Oryzias latipes: one gene and its partners. The protein of the gene in region 2 interacts with the protein of the main gene of each other region in a pairwise test. Links are inferred from orthologs where the notes say so. Each region holds a gene or a part of one and is shown on either strand. Other genes may lie near its edges. The genes, in order: zbtb33, ctnnd1 and kctd6.

Evidence for each region.
Region 1: the proteins of ctnnd1 (region 2) and zbtb33 interact in binary tests that used the Homo sapiens proteins (3 or more experiments, as listed by UniProt). The link is inferred for Oryzias latipes from reciprocal best matches to the Homo sapiens genes CTNND1 and ZBTB33.
Region 3: the proteins of ctnnd1 (region 2) and kctd6 interact in binary tests that used the Homo sapiens proteins (3 or more experiments, as listed by UniProt). The two-hybrid records come from large-scale screens. The link is inferred for Oryzias latipes from reciprocal best matches to the Homo sapiens genes CTNND1 and KCTD6.

Annotation. Positions count from the first base shown.
Region 1 is NC_019868.2:9,751,374-9,755,449, reverse strand, and holds the start of zbtb33 (transcriptional regulator Kaiso), read right to left. Parts: upstream 2,819-4,076; 5' UTR 2,679-2,818; intron 616-2,678; 5' UTR 614-615; coding exon 1-613. Other genes in the region: nkap (NF-kappa-B-activating protein), read left to right, coding at 3,508-3,923. UniProt on the Homo sapiens protein: Transcriptional regulator with bimodal DNA-binding specificity.
Region 2 is NC_019868.2:14,176,450-14,180,736, forward strand, and holds the start of ctnnd1 (catenin delta-1), read left to right. Parts: upstream 1-1,439; 5' UTR 1,440-1,583; exon of another isoform or gene 1,584-1,648; 5' UTR 1,649-1,726; intron 1,727-4,287. UniProt on the Homo sapiens protein: Key regulator of cell-cell adhesion that associates with and regulates the cell adhesion properties of both C-, E- and N-cadherins, being critical for their surface stability.
Region 3 is NC_019865.2:16,433,859-16,437,907, reverse strand, and holds the start of kctd6 (BTB/POZ domain-containing protein KCTD6), read right to left. Parts: upstream 2,847-4,049; 5' UTR 2,513-2,846; intron 1,121-2,512; 5' UTR 1,060-1,120; coding exon 1,033-1,059; intron 245-1,032; coding exon 1-244. Other genes in the region: monoacylglycerol lipase ABHD6-like, read right to left, coding at 3,231-3,410, 3,598-3,698, 3,780-3,834, 3,972-4,049. UniProt on the Homo sapiens protein: Probable substrate-specific adapter of a BCR (BTB-CUL3-RBX1) E3 ubiquitin-protein ligase complex mediating the ubiquitination and subsequent proteasomal degradation of target proteins.

The DNA of each region.
Region 1 (4,076 bases), about 4.4 Mb from region 2:
TTTCTACGTCTAATTTGTCCAAATCAATAACCTCGCTAACTTCACCGCCAGCTGCTCGGGTTTGAGCGTCTGTGCGTGAGACAAACACAACATCACAGTCGGAGTCCTCCTCCTTCCCTGCTTTTTTTTCATTTTGATTGAATTCCTCTGAAGAAATAGAGAAAGACTCTGTGATTACCGGCAGAACCTCATTGCACCCGTCGTTTTTGGCGTCCGTCTCTTTCGACAAACCAGGAATGCCTTTGACTTGGGACAACGGAGAACCCAAATTTGCAATAAACTTCACTCCCAGGACCTGTCCAGCCTGTATGAGCTCTTCCAGCATGTCTGAACGAACACGTACAATCCTGGAACTGTAAATGTAGTTGAGGATCTGCTCAAAGATTTCCGGCCGTATAAAATTCAGCTCAATCACTTGTCCGGCGACACTGAAGAGCTGGTGGAAATAAGTACTAGAGGCGGAAAGGATGGTTTTGTGCGCTCTGAACTTCTTATCCTGTACGATGATGGTGACATCGCAAAACAATCCAATGCTTCTTTGCTCATCCAGGGACTTGAGTATAGCAGCCGAGTACAGAGTGTCGGTCGCAGATATCAGCTTTAGACTTGGCATGTCTGCAAACAGCAAAGTCGGAAAAAAGAAATGACAAAAGATTCAGAAATATTTCGCTTGATTTTTGGTTTCGATGCTCAAACTCTGTATTTTAGCATTTAAATACCATGAAGCAAGACAACATCAACAACAGAAAATGTGTTAAAAGATTTCAAACTTTTAGCAAAAAAAAGTATTTCTTTTATCAATAAAATATTACATTATCATTTGAATATTTCCCTACTACATTAAGCCCTAAATATCAGAATCAGAGGTACTTTATTGATCCCACACGTGGGAAATTTGTGCGTTACAGTGGCATTGTAATCATAAAAGAAAAAAGGATCAAATTAAAAAATAATTGTAAAAAATAAGGAGGTATAATTATATGTCATATTATAAATATGTGAATTTATGTCGATAAACATTCAGCCTCCAATACAGATCAACAGCCTTTTAAGCTAAAGCTTTGGCTCCACCCAAACTGCTTTACTGGGGCAGCAGGGTGGGCCAGTCTCCATCGCCTTTGCGTCACAGTGAGATATGGGCATAAAAAAATCTCATCTTTTTTCATTACAAATCCGATTTTTTATTTTTTATCTCTCTCCTTTTACTTTCTTTAACCAAAACTTGAAATGATGGAATATATTTAATAAAAAGTACTTTATTTGAACATCTCTTTTGGAAATTGGCTCCAACAAAACTAAATACAAGCTGTAAGAATGTTTGCAGATCAATGCAGCTGATGTTTTGTGAGCTACCGCTAGCTTGATCATCTCATAATGAGAAATACTACAACATTTTTGGTAGCAACAGCCTTGAAATGGCATTTGCTGTGCTTGGTTTGATGCTCTAAGTTTGAAGTCACAACCACAGTGACCAAAATCTCATTTCTGACTCACCACACAAGTTGGCTGGTAGATGAAAAAATCTACCAACCAAATGATTCCATTATTTCACCACGAAGAACTCTATGTGTTTAATAAAAAAAAATGATGTTACGTTAAATGCAAACAGAGAGAAAGTCACAACATAATGAAAACATCTGATTAAAACAACTGTTTTTTTTCTAAGGAAATCCTGAATTGATTTCTAATCAGTCTTTGCTCTCTGATTTTGCCGTTTTCACACCGTCTATTAAATGTTTTCTTTTCAATCACAATAAGGGAGTTGTTTCTGTTGTTTCCCCCATGAGAAGAGGGGTTTCAGTCAGTCACCTGTAGTCTGAACCAACTGGAAAGTCAAAAATAAACCTGCTGAGAAAAACAAAAAATAAAGACAGATTTACTAAAGGGGGAGCAGATTGACAGAAAAAAGCACTCTTTTCCTAATTTTGCCTCCAGTGGATTCATTTTTATGTGAAATCATAACAAAAACACCCTAAAAACATGATCATGTTTGGATTCATGCCATTGACCTCTCATGGGGGGGGGGGGGGGGGGGCTTTTGTGCAACTCAACTTAATGTATCGATTTCTGTTCCTACGATCCAACCAGATCAATTTGTTTGAGGCAAATTGTTTAACATATCATGTTCATTCATTCAGTGTTATAAAGGGTCATTACAATGCAAAAAAAGAAAGAAAGAAACCAATCATAAGAAAAGTATGAACTTAATATTTCTATTATAAAGCTGTTCCCAATCAGGTGTAAACATGTATTTACACAGTCAATAAATATATTATTTTAATAACAGAACAGTGATTAAGCATGTTTTTGCATCTATCAAGTTCAACCTCGACAGTTGCGTTCCTTTGATCAGACATATTTCCTTATCTTAGCTTTGCTAAACGTTGGTCTCTAAATGTGATGAGCTTAAAACTCGCGTGACGTGAGACTGTTGTTAATTACAACCACGTTTGCTGGGGGAAAAGAGGTGTTCCTGCTATTTAATGTCAACGCTGTGGTCAGCTGACTTCGTTGTTAGCCGGCTAACAAAGGTAACGCTGTCTCCTTAGCTGGAGGAAGCGCGGCCTGCTCTTTAGCTTCTTTTTAGCATCTCAGTTTATGCAGCAGCTACAATTAAAAAATATTGATAAAACCCACTGAAACATCCTTTCAAAGCATCGCCCAAATGTCATATTTACCTGCAACTTTTCTAATGCCAGGACTAATCCTGACGGGTGCCAACTAGTGAATTGAGGAACTTGACAGGATAAACAGAGGATGTCGTGTCCAACTCTGCTTCCTCTGAGAATTGAGCCCCCCCCCATCCGCCGTCTCACCGGTGGCAGAATCTCGTTTTCTACGGCAAGTGAAGAGGCTCAAAATGCAGCGTTTACCCATACAACGTACTGTAAACACGAAAGGCAACTCAAGCATCGTTCTTCTTCATCGCTATACTATAATGTGGTAGAATATAATAAAAATGATGGAAATATTTAAAATAACTCGTTTGCAAGTGGCCTGTTTAAGCACGTCTGTTCCAAGTCATTTGTAATAAAGTATGTTTTTAGAAACACAAACAATCAAAATGGAGTTGACTTATTGTTATTATACATGTCTTTTTTGTCCTTAACAGCTATTTGGGTATTTAGCTTTAAATGTTAGCATTGACACATAATCTCCTCACATATCATATTCATTTTCTATTTAAAATTTTGAAAATAAAATAGAAATTTAACAATTCTACGAAGACTCGCCATAACTTTAATCGCAGCAGTGTATTAAGATTTTTTGTTAAAGAAACTTTGTTTGCAGTATGATCATTTAAAATATATCCTAAACATGCATTTTCTGTGTTAGCGGAACTATTCTTCGTTGGTGTTGGGAGGACCCGTGATCATTTACTGAACGGACACTTCCATCCTTCGTTGCGTAGGTGAAAAACAACGGTAGAACACAAACCTTTTTGTTTGAATTTTTGTCTTTGGGCGTTTATTTTGTTCAAAACTAAATAGTAGGCCGCCAGAGGCCATGCCTCTTTCGGATCGCTCAAGCTCAGACGGTGGCGGGGAGCCTCGTCGTAGTCCTCGGGCTCGCAGACCCCGGACTCGCTCCCGCAGCCGAAACCGTGGCGACAGCCGCGACAGGAGTCTGTCGCCGTACAGCTTCGGGCCCAAACTCCCCAAACCACGTAACAGAGAGCGTGAACGCGAGGAACGAGAGCATCGATTAAGGGAGGCGAGAAACATCAGAAGGATTCGGATCGGAAGCCCCGGTCGTAGCCGCTCCAGATCCCGGTCCAGGGAGCGTCACACCAACAACCACCACAGCCATGGGTTCGAGCAGCGGGAGCCTCCAGGAAAACACGGCAGCTTCAGAGACGATTACTATTACGAGCAGCAGAGGGATGACATCCAGAGACAAAGACAAGAAGCTTTCATTGCCAGGTAGTGACACATTAAGTTATCAACATTTGGAGCCAAATACTAAACTTCTGTGAATTTTCATCTTTAAAACACCAAAAAACATTTTATGTTGTAATTATTAATGTTAACAGATGTAGGTCAGATCTTAAGCTGTGAAAATTAGTAATTCGCTGA
Region 2 (4,287 bases):
TCATTTTTTTTCTAAAACAAAGCTCAGCTCCTGGAAATCTGTTTTTTAAAAAACAAAATAATAAATTCATTGAGTTAGCATAATTCAAATGAAAGCTAAAGTAAAACATTAATTAGGAAGAAAAATCAAAAGCTTGCAGACAAAAAGTTTTTAATTGTACTACTTTTCTTTAATCAGATTCTTTTATAATTGGACTTCTCCACTTACATAAGGTACAAAATGAAAATAATAGACAAGAAAAACAACTTTTTTTGTTTGTTTTATGATTTTATTTAGCAAATCCCTAGTGAAAGACTTAAGTCTGTTCTGTTTTAAAACATTAGAGCTATAATTTCAATTACTTAGAATCATTGTTAAGAATCCCACAACCAGCATAGCTTCTTTGCTATTATGGATATCAATTAAGTCTTTAAAAGGTCTTTGTCAGATTTGACAAACTAGACTTTAAAACTATAAGCTTAATTGTGATTTAAAGATTAAAAGAAAATCGTGAATTGGTTCTAAATACGTATTTTTGGGGTTGAACTTTCTTTAAAACTTAACTGACACGCCTGTGTTCGTTGAAAGTGAAGCTTGCAACACCACATTTGTAAACTGCTGCCGCACATTCTTGATGAAAAATCTGTGACGCAAAAATACTGTAAGTTGTTGCTCATCTTTTTGAGTTTTGGTAAAGTAAATCAGCTGGGGATGGGTTTATTAACACTTCTACTGAATGACAACTGCTTGAAAAACACAGATTCCTGATTCAAACATTAGGCTACAAAACTTAGCTGCAAATCTTTAAACTTTAGATAAAAGTAAAGCTTCCCGTATAAGATAGATTCATATTTTCTGAATGACTAAGTTTTTAAAAATTAAAAACCTAATTTATTTGTTTAAATACTATGAGGTTCCGTTTGTGCCCAAAATATTTTATTGTTTTAATCACCATATATTCCAAGTGAGCAGTATTGTTGATTATATTTATGCCTTCTTCCTATTACAAAAGCACTTCGGGGGGAGCTCATACGGAAGCTGGGGGGAATTCCTGGCATTGTTCCTCTTTCCATGTTTGTATGTCCACGCTGATGCCTTGTTTTTCAAGTTCACATTTCTTTTTCTTCGATTTTTACCCCAAAATCTTGAAAATGAAAAAAGACCTTCACAGCCAATTCTAGACTGACATGTTAAAAAAAAAAAAAAAGCAAAAACAGTGCTTGAGCAATAAATAATTTGCCAAAACAAGGTATGTTACATTTTTGGTAAGAAATATAAATGTTAAGAAAATGTGAAGGATCTGATTAACCTTATTTTGGGGGAATTCATTCATGTAAAAAAGCTGAAGTACTCCCACCCACGTGAGACTATCTATTGCCCCTTGGCCATTCTTATTGAGCAATCACAGACGTGACATCGTGAAGGGAGGGACACGCGGAAGGTGATATTGCGACATAATTTAAATCCCCGGCAGACTAGAGGTGTAGCTCAGTTTGTCCATTAAAACTATTTATACAAAAAATAAAAACTGCGCAAAAAGCAGAACTCTGTGGTGTCTGTAACCACCAACCTGCTGGTTTTTTGTGGGAGCGCAGTGCTTTACGGTAAAGCTGCTTGTTGATCCCACCCTCCCTTTGATAGAAACTCGGTGATATCTCACCTCTTTAAGCTAGGAGACGGGAAGAGGCAGAAAACACCTAAAACTGGGTAGTCTGAGTGAGGTCGGGTGCAGGATTTCCTCAACCAGGTGAGCCAATTCTTGGATTTTTACCGATGATTTGTCGCGCGCGTGGATTTTCTTTGAAGATTGCCGGGACACTCTGCAGTTCTAAGGAGTGGTCATGTATTCCGACAGATCAGCACGAATCTTTTATGCTAATAAAAGCTAGCGCACAAGTTCAGACCCTGATTTGTTCCTTCGTCACCAGCCGTGCTCATTCCAAATATTATTAGGCCTTTGACGCCATCGTGTATACCGAGAGAAAAAGGTCCACGTTGCCCTGAAAATGTCGCGTTTTTGAACCCTTCATTGCTGTTTGATCATCTGTGTTTGCTTTGCTAGCGCTAGCCCCGCTGTCGGGAGCGTTTTCGTGGTAGTTTTATTGTGATGCTAACGACTCGGGACAGTCAAACCAGGTCAGACGGAGCTAGCTTCCAGCCCAACTGGGTTGATTTGATCCATTTTAGCCGAGCTCTTGCGTTAGCACCACCACCGAGGAACTCTCTTGCGACAGCCTTTGTTCGAAATGAGCTCTTTTATATCAAAGGTTCATGTCTGGTGTGCGCTTGAACTTGTTTTTCTAGCTAACTTTCCTCGCGGCTGGTGACCTATATTCCCGTCTTCTGCCTACTAATCATTCACAAGGCTGTGTGGGATGCCGTTAGACGAAGGAAATGCTAACTAGTTGTAGCATTTTCCAAGCGGTGTTTGGGATACACGGACTGGTAAAATGACCTCACCCAGCAGCAGCTAGCTAGTCTCTGGGAGCGTTTCTATGTACTGGTACACGATTATTAAGTACGATAAGTACGTTTATTCTACTAATTTAGTGTTTCTTTTTTTCTCTTTTTTTAAATATATTTTTGGGTGTTTGCGCAGCCGACTTTACTTCAGTATTTGAAGTACATGTTTTGTGAAAAGTGTGCGGGTGCCTGTGTGTGTGTGTGTGTGTGTGTGTGTGTGTGTTTGTTGTATGTACGTAACATCCAGGCTCAATACTTTTGTGTATTTAATTCCACCGTCAGCGCGGTGGTCTCTCATTTGTGGTCTGCTAGTCTGGGATTATGGCTTTGTCAGACGGAACCTGTTGGGTGGGTCATGTGTAAACTTGTTTTGTTGGGAAAATGCTTGGGTGGGGACAACTGTCAGCTTCAGCCTGAACTAACAGACTGGCGTTTTCCTTCGTAAACACCGACTACACGCAGGCTTATAATTCCTCGCGTCGATAGGCCTTCCTTTGGCTTTAGTGGCGTCTGGTGGATGTTTAAAGAGGATGTGTTTGAACTATAGGTGTGACCGGTTCAGGTTTGTGGTGGAGGGGATCCTGGTAACACCACATGTCGGCTGTTCTGGAGGATCTGTGCTCTCTAGCCATTGTTTGGATGTTGACAAATGATCCCACCACCCACTGTAATTTGGTCTGCTTTTTCACACACTTCAGGTTTTTTAATAGACACACTTCAGGTTTTTTAATAGACTCAAACAAGTGGATGTAGGTCCATTTATTTCTATTTTTTTTTTATAAAGCATCCTTGTTAAAGACCCACACAATCATCTTTTGATCTATTGTAAAAGCATTCCCAGTGGTCTTTTAATTATGATTAATGCTTTTTTTAGCTAAAATCAAAAACCCTGTGTAATTTTCTATGACATAGTTTCTGCAGATCGGCAGGAGTTCATTCGAAATTCACCTCTGAGTTGTGGGCAGGATTGCCCACCTCCTGTCATCCACCTGTTTGCACTGTCTGCCGCTAGCTCACAGACCCAACCTAACATTACCGGTGCAGCAAAAATAGGGATCAATATTGGAGCTATCCAGCCGTACAGTTTTGAGACGGATGGCAGCTTGTATGAGGAAAACGAAGACATTCATGGATCTAGTCGTCTACGAGTGGATGCACCAGAATGGAGCAGAGCAGGGAGTTTGTTGCTTACCGTTGTAGGTGCTACATCACACCCATAAGCATGTTTTTTTCAATGGCATATTTTTGGTCTGCTCCGGATTCATCACGATTTGATAAAAAAAATACAAATAGTACGTGCAATTTTCCACTTAATTTTCTTTATATATGTCCTCTACAGGACAAAAATGCAACAAGAACATGTTCAAAACACCACAAACAGCACTTCCATTGGTGTGGATTTTTAAAATCTATTTTAAAGTGTTAGAAGGTAAATTAATTAGTGGGGTAAGTCCTCAGTACAACCAACACTCTGCTTTGGTATCAAATAATCTTAACATCAAACTACACTATTAACTAGCTGGAAATATGTGAATACCTGGCCAACATCGAACATGTTTTTTTCTGTCTGTCGCTCTGTTAGGCAGAGTTTAATTAAGCCTACAAAGGATTTATTGTTGGTTTGTTCTGATGATCAGAGTGAGTGAGTCATGCTGACTGATGGCTGCTGAATCAGATGGGCTTGTGATGTGACTTGTGGCGAGTCAGAGTTCAGTCAGATGTTGCTGACCGCAGAAGACTCGTCCCTTTGAACTGCCATTGGGTTTTGGAGTCTTTCACTGTGGGGGTTTTCTAATTATGTTACTTTTAAAATACACTGCCATTTTCTATTTATTGTTTTAAGAA
Region 3 (4,049 bases), on a different chromosome or scaffold from region 2:
TCCGCAGCAAGTCCGTCTCCGTGAAGTCCACGGGCAGTGTAAGCTCAGATGTCCTCAGGAAGTTCAGGATGTACCTGAAAAGTGTCCCATCTCGATCAATGAAATAATTTCCCTGAGCGTCCCGAGCTGTAGGGAAATCCCCCCGAAACATGGCTCCCAGCATGGAGTCTGGATAACGCTGCAGGGTGGATAGACTGGTGGTATATAAGTGGCCTCCCACATTCAAGGTAACAGGAGTGGTCATCTAGAGAGGATAGCAGAGTTTGTTTTGTTAGCTCACACACTGGAGTGTTGTATAAGCAAACGTTTTATTAGAAATTATTTCCATCTGAGAGGAACTAATGTTTGCTCAACTACTTTTTGGCACACAAACTGAAAGAATAGTTTCATTCAATTGATAATCTTATAAACACTCACAGCTTGGTAAAAAGTACACAGTTTAAGATGCATCTAAAACCATGAACAATGTTGAAATTAACACCAAATGATATCTTTCACAAACTATGCAAGTTTCTGACTTGACTTTCAATAAATGTAAAGTATTGAAAGTCCAGAAAGTCAGCTTCATTTATCATTGTGGTGTTTGTTGTCAGTGTGGAACAACAACCTAGGTTACCCCACCACAAGAACAAATGAAGGTGAATGAGAAACAGCCAAATTAGTATTGATGTAAGGTCTTCTGCAGAGTTGCTTCGGCGTTGCAGCATAAATGGTTATAAGGGGAATATAAGGAATTGGCATTAAATAACTCATTCCTAGCATTTGTTTACTTCCATCGGTATGTCTCTGACCAATATGAATATCTTTAAAATGTGCCACTGCTGCTGAAAATGAAAAAGAACTACACAACTACATATCTGATCAGTTGGTGAGGATGTAAATGTTTAAATCTGATGCCCAACAGAGGAAATGAGAAATCAATACAAAGAGAAGTTCTGTAGAGTTTGCTGAGACTGGTTCTTCTGTGACGCGGTTCTGGTTAAACAAATGAACTGAAAGGCAAAATGATTATGACTTTCAACTATGTCTTACCCTATGGCCCCAGTCTCCATTATCCATTTGTAGAATTTCTACCAGGTTGAAACCAAAGTAGGGAGAGAACTTGATCAGGACAGACTCCCTTTATTTGGACCAGTAAAACAAGCACAAGAAAAATAATTACATTAATACGAGGCACTAAGAAAACTTGTCAGCAGAATGGGAGAGAAGTTTGCATTAAAACTCAAGTAATGCTTTCTGTAGCAATAACTACTTACATAATCAGACAATATTAAAGTTCCACTCCTATCATCTCTTGATCTTTTTTTAAAGCATTCTTAGTGTTTTTTTATTATTATTATTATGCTGCTTTTAGCCTAAATAAAAAAGAAAATTCAAATAAAAACCTGTGTCATTTTGGAAAAGGTTTTTTGAGCCAGATGCCAGCTGAGACGAGGAAAACAAGACGTAAATGGGTCTATGGTCTGCAAGTGGATGCATCAGAATGGAGCGGAGCAGGGAGCTTATGGCCGGCCGATTGTGTTTTCTTTGTCACAAATATGATCTTTTTCAAAATGCGTTTTTTTTCTGCTCCTGATTCCCCAAAATTTGATTAAAGAAATACTCAGAAATGCAATTTTAAGCTTAATTTTCTTTAAATATCCCCTTCATCATCAGAAAGATGCCAAAAGGACATGTTAAAGGTGCATTTTTCATTGGAGTGGGTCTTTAATAATGTCCCAGTGAGCTTGATTTTGCTTAATGTGTTTGTGTGTGTGTGTGTGGGGGGGGGGGGGGGGGGGTGTTAAAGCTTTAAAAACAAAAATAAATATACAAAACCCAAGTAATATTTTACTGCATTAGTTTATTATACGTATTAATAACAACAAATACTGATGTAAAACATGCCAGATTTAGTCTAGGGATCATTAGGCCAGAATGAAAAAAATTGCAAAAGACAAGATAAGCAAGAAACAGGAAAACCATTAACCTAATCCTAATCGGACAAAACTACAGTAAAAAGAAGAGAAGTGTCGTGTTACAGTTAGGATAAAGGTTCCCATATGTTTTGGTCATTTCTAAATAAAATGGATAGAATCCTCCAAAATCAAAGCATTAAATATATGACTAAAGTGACAGAGAGTTAACTATTTGTTTTCTGAAAAACAAAAGCCAATCTTGACTCCTGGTTATTTGGCATTATCGAAGTGACTGTGTAATTGACTGCAGCGCAGGCATAAATAAATGAGAGAAGCCGGCAGAAGAAATAACACAAGCTTTTAGTTAGAGGTAATAGTGTGCTTCTCTGTAAGCTTACATTAAGTACAATTCTGAAGAAAAAAAGTGAAATAAACCGTGAATACTAACGTTGAGACATCAAACATACGTGTAAGTGTGAAAGCTAGCAGCTAGGTTTTTCTTTTAACTAGCATGCTAGCAGCTAGCAATCCAAGAACGTTAGCTGCGGTCTCTACTGAGGTTCATGATGGTTTACAAATCAACCAACCAGGTAGACAATAAAGCAAAGACTCACCAGCTTTAGCGCCTTTTTTTTTCCTTCCTGAATGGCTCCTAAGAAAGACTCCCCCGCTGTTCTCCAGTAACGGTGGATCAAATGACCACTGATAGGATCCTTGCCTGCGGTCTGTCTCACCGGGCAGCTGCACTCTGCTTCAGGCTGCAGCGGAACTGCGCACACTGACGGGGGGAGAAAGCAGGAGGGAGGAGGTCCTGCTGCAGCTACAGCCTCCTCTGCTTCATCCACGCATCCATGGACAGGGCACTTCACAGATTCACAGGCCTACCAAGCATGGGATCAGGAGCGCAAGGATTCCTCCTCCAAGTCCAACCCATGCGCTTTACGCGTCAAAATGACCAAACAAAGCGGGGAAACACCTCAATACATTATGGTGGCACAATAAAGGACTGATGATTTTTCTATGTAAATTTAAACATTGACCAAAAAAATAAAAAACGGCGAATGCCTAAATAAATGAAAATATAAAATAAAATGTAAAATAAAAATGTAGACATGGGCTATTACAGATTCAAAGCAGATATCTTTTGAATTGTCAGCATAAAAGCAGATTGATCAAGTTTTGGTAAACAAAAGACCACACATCATATCTAATCCAACTTTATTAGTCAAATTGGAGACACAAAACAAATAAATCATTTTTCATATTTTTCTCTACTTCTGTGCTTCTTCCTCACATAGGCTACATATTTGATCTGTTCCCTTAATCTTCTATTCAGGACGATTTCTTGGTACCACCTCTGGCATTCTGCTGCAAGATAATGAACTCCAGGATGAGTCTGGCTGTCCGACAAGGCTTCTCCATAACCACGGAGTGACCACAGTTATCCAGCAGGTCTACCCTGCAGCCAGGCAACAGCTCTGCAATAACGCTTGCCCCGGAGACATCCACCACCTGGACCAAAAGGCAATCTCTTTTGGCATTTCATTACAAATAAAGTCAACTGTTGTCTTAAACTGACATTTCTATGTTACATATTGGTACACCTTAATGAATATATAATGAGTAATATATAAATAAATCATCACAACACTCACCTAAATTGAACCAAACAAAGTTATTATTGGAACATGATATTTACCTGATCTTGTTTACCCCAAATCACTTGTAGAGGGGCATTTATGAGATGCAGGTGCTCTTGCAAAGCATATCTTGAGTTCTCACTAACAATCTCCATAAATACTGCAGAAATGAAAAAAAGTTTTTATTTTCATGTTATTTTAGTAAAAAAGTAATAATTATTTTTTTTACAACAAATCCCACCTTCTTCATAAAACGTGTTGTGAGGCAGTCTGACGTCTACCAATCCTTGAAGAATCTAAACAATAAAAAAATAAGGTTAAAGTATCCATTAAATGTAGCAAACATTTTTGTGATTTTATTTCCCCGTAGATTGTCCATTTTTGGTGTCTATAGTACACAAAGGGAAACTTGTGTTACAGGTGTGGACTTGACCTGTTGAGGAATTCTAAAACGAACGTGGGAGCAGAGTCTGAACATGTCCTCCATCTCCTCCGGTGTGGTCGGGATCAG